2 linked regions of the Tribolium castaneum genome follow. The protein of the gene in region 1 purifies or fractionates together with the protein of each later gene. This does not show direct contact. Links are inferred from orthologs where the notes say so. Each region holds a gene or a part of one and is shown in the gene's direction. Other genes may lie near its edges.

Evidence for each region.
Region 2: the proteins of Slmap (region 1) and Ccm3 purify together in Homo sapiens (affinity purification with mass spectrometry; 3 studies listed by BioGRID and IntAct, counting the BioPlex papers as one, with this or other methods). This does not show direct contact. The link is inferred for Tribolium castaneum from reciprocal best matches to the Homo sapiens genes SLMAP and PDCD10.

What each region holds. Positions count from the first base shown.
Region 1 is NC_087399.1:2,656,286-2,660,210, reverse strand, and holds the start of Slmap (sarcolemmal membrane-associated protein), read left to right. Parts: upstream 1-1,526; 5' UTR 1,527-1,666; exon of another isoform or gene 1,667-1,772; 5' UTR 1,773-1,866; coding exon 1,867-2,145; intron 2,146-2,191; coding exon 2,192-2,414; intron 2,415-3,925. Other genes in the region: PRKR-interacting protein 1 homolog, read right to left, coding at 660-992, 1,041-1,220, 1,266-1,397. UniProt on the Homo sapiens protein: Associates with the striatin-interacting phosphatase and kinase (STRIPAK) core complex, forming the extended (SIKE1:SLMAP)STRIPAK complex.
Region 2 is NC_087398.1:11,643,726-11,647,039, reverse strand, and holds Ccm3 (programmed cell death protein 10), read left to right. Parts: upstream 1-1,534; 5' UTR 1,535-1,671; coding exon 1,672-1,743; intron 1,744-1,790; coding exon 1,791-1,968; intron 1,969-2,015; coding exon 2,016-2,142; intron 2,143-2,188; coding exon 2,189-2,353; intron 2,354-2,405; coding exon 2,406-2,490; 3' UTR 2,491-2,733; downstream 2,734-3,314. Other genes in the region: WD repeat-containing protein 55 homolog, read right to left, coding at 93-1,313. UniProt on the Homo sapiens protein: Promotes cell proliferation. Modulates apoptotic pathways. Increases mitogen-activated protein kinase activity and STK26 activity. Important for cell migration, and for normal structure and assembly of the Golgi complex.

The sequences.
Region 1 (3,925 bases):
TGAAAATCCCAGTGACAGTGCTAGTGACAAGTAATGACAAACATAGCACGCTTAATTAATATTTTTTTTCACTATTATGCAATTTTCTGTAACAAAGATTAATTAAACATCATAAAAACATAGATTTTTGTTTCATTTAGATAAAAATATTTCGTACAAATTTTAATAATTTCACATTTTTGGTGGAGGCGCCGGGCTAGAAATATTTTTTAAAAGTTGTGTCACTATGATAGTTTTGAACAAAATGGGTTTTGAACACATGCTTTGAATTAGAAATTAACGCTGAAAGCAACTCAAACAGTTATATCACCATTTTACGTTACAAATTTTTTTTAAATAAAAAAATTAGGGGACTGAGAGAGGTAGGACTACGGAGATTTAAAGGCTAGGATACGAAGCCACCTACAAATAAAACGTTCCTCTCCCTGATAGTTCCGTTAAGGTCGCTAGAGAACGCAGTTGTTTTCATAAGAATGGGCAATCAATTAAAAAAAAAGGTTTTATTTGTTTTATTGTTAGCACATAGCATACAAAAAATACGTAAATAGTACGACTTATGTATCTCGTTTCGTCTCATAAGTTACAGTTCTCCATAGAAAAGGCATGATCAAATAATAACAAAAAACAGGCAAATAATTAAAAATACGTTTATTTGGTTTTTATTTAATTTCGTCATTAGTGTTATCAGGAGTTTCTTTTGGTGCGTCTTCTTTTCCACCCTCCTTCCGATCTTCTGTATTTTCTTCCTTTGTAGGCTTACTGTCTTCACTTGGCGTTTGTTCTTCGTTCTTTTTCTCACATTCTTCACTTTCAACTTCTTCACTGCTACTACTGTCGGTTGCTTCACTTTGTGAAGACTTACTGCCTAACTTCGGCTTTTTTTTCATTTTTTGCTTTTTCTTTAGTCGTTTCTGTCTCTTCTTCGCCGTCCTTTCCTCCGCTTTCCTCCTGTTTTCTTCAAGTTTGGCATGATATTCGTTATCCAACTTTTCCTAAAGACTTTTTTCAAAAATAACGAAGGCATAATTCAAATTAATTACCCTTTCGCCCTTTTCTTTCATGTATCTTTGTCTCGCGTACTCTTTTCTCCTTAAGTGTCTATAGACGTGGAACTCCCCAGAACCAGCCCCAGCGCTGCTCCCCATGACATTACGTACAAAATCAGGCACCACGGGAACCCCCCGCTCTTTGGGCCTTTCGGGGATGATCACCTCTTTCTCCTACACAATTTATAACAATGCTAACAACTCTCAGGGGCCACTTACCGGGTTTTTCATCAGTTTTTCCAGTTTGAGTCTTTGCAAGTCCGTGGAGTTGCGTATGACTATGGGCTTGTGGTCGCGCTCGATTTCCATATCGGGGCTGCTATCGCGGTCCCCCGGTGTGTTTTTTGCCATTTTTTTCAAGTTTTTGTCGTTAAAGTAACCTAACTTTCTGTTTACGAATCGTTTGACGTGAAATTAGGTGGTGAAAGGTCAGAGGTGCCACTCTGGTGAAAGGCGAAAATCCCTAACACAGCCTTGTCTTTGTGCTCGAAAATGTCACTGCGCGATAAAAACTTGCAATAAATTTGGTAAAAAACCCCTCGTAAAAAATGTAAATCCCGTGCGTGGTGTCGGTGCGATCGAACTGGTCCGATTCGGGTGCAAAAAATGTGGTAGAATTGGTACGATTTGCGTTAGTTCTTGAGCTAGTTTCACGCCCACAAATTTTGACATATCTTCACCCAGTAAATGAAAATCGCTCTAAAACCCCAAATCGTTGCGTTTTAGGTGAGTTGGTTGTGTTGTAGCGCGTTGTGGAGTGTCAGTGTGCTGCTTTGGTCGGCTGTCAATTAATCTCGTTGCCCCCACTTGACCCCAGGCGATGGTCGTTGTAAGCGGGATCTGGGTGAAGAATGTGGCCGCATACCCAACCCCCATGGTAAAGAGCAGCAACGCCAAGATGCTCGCCAAAGCCGTGCTCATCTGCCGCCCCAACTCGCACCCCTTCCAGGAGCGCACCCTTCTGCTGGACCAGCCGGTCAAGGTGGGGCGCTCGGTGGCGAAGGCCAAAGCCACCTGCGCCAACGCCATCTTCGACTGCAAGGTGCTGTCCAGGCACCATGCGGTGCTCTGGTACGAGAACGGGAAGTTTTACCTTCAGGTAGGGCCCCCTTGGGAGTGAGTTGTGACTAAAGTCCCCGGTTTAGGACACGAAGAGCAGCAACGGGACTTTCGTCAACAATAATCGCCTGGTGGCCGAGACGGAGCACCATGAGGTCAGTTCGGGGGACATTGTCCAGTTTGGGGTCGATGTCATTGAAAACAACAAGAAGGTGACCCATGGGTGCATTATCGCAACGCTTAAACTGTACATGCCTGATGGGAGGGAGGCCAAAGCCAGCCCCAGCATCGTCGAAAATAACACTGATGGTAATTGACTTGTAATTGATATTTCTTGTTTGACGTAAGAATGATAACGATAAAAGCCCAGTTTTTATTTAAAAAAAATAAACACATAATAAGGTGGAAAACGGCTCATTTTGAACCCAATTTTGATTAATTGCTCGGACTTGTAGTGATTTTTGTCGTTTTGGAGTTGGGCCAAGTCGGCAAATACTAGACTGTTTTTTTACTATTATTATTTGAATTCGGAAGGTTAAGTGGGACCACCCGTTTTTGTGCTATTTTTAACACTACATTTAAATGAAAAAATTAAACACTGTTCCGGAAAGCCTCCAAATTTTTTACCAACAATATTAAACAAATTGGTATTTCTCTTTTGTTTATAATTTGTATTTTAAAAAATCTAAATTATGTACATACTATTTTTATTTCACAACGTTTAAAAGTCAAGGAAAGTTTCTGTTGCGCATTACATTCGACTCATACAAGATGAGTTTGTTAAAAGATTTTTTTTTCTGTATCTCAATAACTAAATAACACGTTTGCTATTTTGTGTTTGGAATTTTTTTTCCAATTACGACAAATATATATGTAAAATTGTTTGATGTAAATTTATGTAAAATGATCCGCTGAATCGATTGGCGTCAAGAAAATCGCAAAATTCCCAACAGTTTTTTAGATATGAATTTTTTAAAATTTTACCTATTTTTGCTTTTATTTCCAGTTTTCTCGAAAACTGTTAGTCGGAGAACAGTAGTCTTTTTGAAAAAGATAGATAATTAAAAGAGCTTTCCAACGATAATACACTTCATGGGGTTATCTCTAATAGTTCCGGAGCTATTGCTCGAGAAATGTTCCGGGTACCCGAAATCGACCAAAATCGCGACAAAAATTGAAAAAATCAAACATCAAAAAATTGAACATATGGACTTTTTGTGGACTTTTAACAACAATTTTTAACAATTTTTTTTTCATCTCTTTGAAGGTACAAGAATACTCAGGAAATTTGAGCAAAAAAATAGAAAATTTTAAATTGCGTGAAAAATTAGTATAATAAAGGAAAAAAGCCGCTGAATCCAATGGAACAAACCGCACTTCTCTACGACTTTTAGTTTTCGAGTTATGAATTTTTTTAATGAATAAAATTTTTCACTATGACAAATGGCTACCCTAAATTTAGGCAAAAATTTTTAAATTTTTAATTCTTGTGAAAAATCGATATAATATGTAAAATGAGCCGTAGAATTCAACCGAACAAACCGCAATGCTCTACGACTTTTAGTTTTTTTTTTATGAATTTTTTTAGTGAAAAACTTTGATCGCCTCTGTAGCCGGAACCGTTGCCCGGAGCGGCTCCGGGTTTGGTCGAGAAATTAGACAAAATTAAGCGCTATCAGATGGTTTTTTGTTCGTTGCTCTAAGTCTTACAGTTTCCGAGAAAAACGCAAAAAAAGGTTTCCATTTTCACTTTTTTTCAATTTTTAATCGCCAATTACGGCGAAACTATTAAAGATATAGAGAAACGGAAAAATGGAGGA
Region 2 (3,314 bases), on another chromosome or scaffold:
TAATCATTACGATTTGAATTAAAATAAAAATATACATTTCAGAATCATAAAATTTATTTATTTATAGTTACAGTTTTCTGTATTTATAGTTTTCAGCATAAACCGCTGAAGAAATCTGACGCGTTCTGCACCTTGGAGGAGGGCAAATTATTCTGCATTTCCCTCTTCTTCTCATGCTTTTTATGTTTATGGGTAACCTTTTCAAAATCTTCGAAATACTTGATGTTCCAAAACTTGATGTCATTGTTGTGACTACTGGAGGCAATAAACTGTCCGTTGTTGCAAATATCTAGTTTTTCAACGGACAAGTCATGTTGTCCCACGATGCCTAGATGTCTGTGAGGGAACAAATGCGTCGCTCTTAAAACCCCATCTTCGCACGCAGTCACGACGATATTTTCAGTGATTGGAATCAAATCATTAATTGCGGACTTAGTCCCTGGGAAAATATCGCTATGTAGCCCAAACTCATTCCAATTATACAGCAACAATCGGCCTTTGGACGACCCAGCCAATAATTTACTCTCCGACCGGAAAAGCCCGAGACAAGTGAGCTCCTCGTCGTATTCTTCAGACTGCATGTGAATTTTTCGATTATTCAAATCTATTGTTGTAAGAGAACCATCGCCGCTTGAACACAACAAAAGACTTTTAGCCTCGTTCGTTACCAAATCGCTGATATAATCCTCGTTTTTCTTAGTTCGATAAATCGGCTTTGAGGCGTTTTGCCGCAAATCCCACAGTTTCACACACCCGTCGTCGTCTCCAGTCGCGAACAAATTCTCATCAATCACCAAAAGACTATAAATCGGTGACTCGTGCGCCTCGTCGTAGAACCGGGACAATTTCCCACTTTCAACATCACTTATCATAATTGTCTTGTCTTTAGCCACGGAAAATAAACTTTCACCGTCTCCACTAAACTCAATGTCTCGACAAGCCTTCGTATGCACTTCCAACGTGCGAATAATCGAATTTTCCTCGTTAGAGTATTTGTAGAGAATAATATCGCCCACGATACTCGCAACAGCTAGCAAGTCCTCCTGGGGGTGAAACGAAATATCCGTTATAAAATCCTCGCAGTGGATAACAGGGGGGTGGTCACGCTTCTTCTCAGCGGCGCTCCGAATGGCCTTAATCACCTCATCTTCCTCCTCTTCTTCGGGCCCCCCGTTTGCTTCATTCTGATCATCAGGGGACTCGTTTTCATCAGAAGACTCGTTTTCGTCAGAATCGGACATGCTGACGTCGGAATCGTCCGAATCCGAGTCCATTTCGTCTTCTTCATTGTTTTTATCACGTTTGTTGCACATTTTTCAAGTCAGGTTTTTGAGGTTAGGAGAACGGTGTGACAGATTGTGCAAACAACCGAAAAAAATTTCTCGCTCAAAAACCGTTAAAAAACGAAAGATCACTAGCACTGCATGGAAGTCAAACACGGAATCACATTTTATGAAAAAAATTGCCAAAACGGTTGACCATAATTAGAAAAAAGTGATTCGAACGTACACACACTCGGGCACTTGTCACGCCAAGTTTCCTGTCAAACGGTGACAGTTGACAGTTAAGAAAAATATTTACCTTGTTCCTTGAAATTTTTTCGTTATCTTATCAGTTGGGCCCCGCAAACAACGTATTTTTCGTCACACCACCCACCCCTAGCCGAGAAATATGACAATGGGCGATGAAACACCGGTCACATCGTTGATACTTCCCGTGCTGATACGCCCCATCCTTTCCCAGGTAATTGCGTAAAAACGGTTCAAAAAGCGTAATTCGACAAATTCCAGCTCGAAAAGCAAGACATATCGGCGTCGCAGACCCTCCGCTCCGCCCTCACCAAAGCCGAAGCCTCCTGTCCCGGCCTCACCCATGAGCTTGTTTTGGGTATCATGCGAAAGGGGGACCTCACGGTCAACCTAAACGAAAGCATCCTGCGTTTGCAGGGCGCCGCCACCGAAACCGATGGTATTTGAGCGGATTTTCTAGTGGTTTTGTGTTAATTTTAATTGTAGAGTACAGACTGAACAGGTCAGAAGACGCCTTCCAGGAACTCAACCGCAAATCGGCGGCGCTTAAGCGCATTCTTAGCAGAATCCCCGACGAGATCAACGACAGAAAAACGTTTCTCGAAACGATCAAGTACGTTGCTGACCGCTGATTGTTTGTTGTTTATTGGAGTTTTCAGGGAAATCGCAAGTGCCATTAAAAGGTTACTAGATGCCGTAAATGAAGTCAATGGGTTCATTCCCGGAACCACTGGCAAACAAGCGCTAGAGCAGCGCAAAAGAGAGTTTGTCAAGTTTTCCAAACGCTTCAGCAACACGCTTAAAGAGTATTTTAAACAAGGACTGTAAGTGGGCTGGTTTTCATTGTTTCGTTTCCTGTTACGTTGTTTTTTCCAGTGCCGACGCTGTTTTCATTAGCGCACTCTACCTCATACACCAAACTAATATGATTATTGCCACTGTTAAGCAAAAGTGTGAATAAGTTGTGATTAACTATTTTTTTAATTAATTTATTAGACAAGAGTATTGTTATGAATGGGTTTAAGGCGGAGTTCTACAATTTGCTGTTTGTTGTTTTTTATTAATCTAATACAAATTTTCCACCAACTGTTGAAAGTATTCCTGTATAGAAAATATTTTAGTGAAGAGTGCAAAAATTTAGATAGTATTATATTATCAAAATAAATATGTAATAAATTGTATTAATAAACGACTATTTTAAGAACGTCTCGCTTTATTAATTAACCCCTATCCCGTGTTATACCCATACTTTACACAATACAACCATTCGAGAAGCCGTTATTTACCATAAATAGACGGTATCAAAAAAGATACAGGAAAAAATACAACTGGTAGAATGTCACTCGTAATTGTTACGACGGTACGTAGCAATTTAAGTTTCCAAAAATATCATCGTTACATGAGGATCTAAATCAAAATGTAACAGGAAACATGATCGCACTAATTTATTTTTTAAGACTCCAGTAATTGTACCCACCCTATTACTGACAGTAGGGATGTAACTTTTTTATTTTCTGATACAGACGACTAAAAAATCAGGAACAAATAACCGACTGCTCCATTTACACTTATTTAATGAAACCATTACAAGAGTCGTCTTTTTTCCGGCATCTCAAAAACTAATCACTGCACAAAAGTCGGGGTTTGCTATTAAATACTTTGTTTTTTCTATGCATGTGAATGTTTCCAGAATTTTTCTACGATTTCTTATACAGTCAGACTTCGATAACTCCAAATGGCAATTGCCAACAAAACTAATTATGTTATGGAAAAGTCCTCCTATCA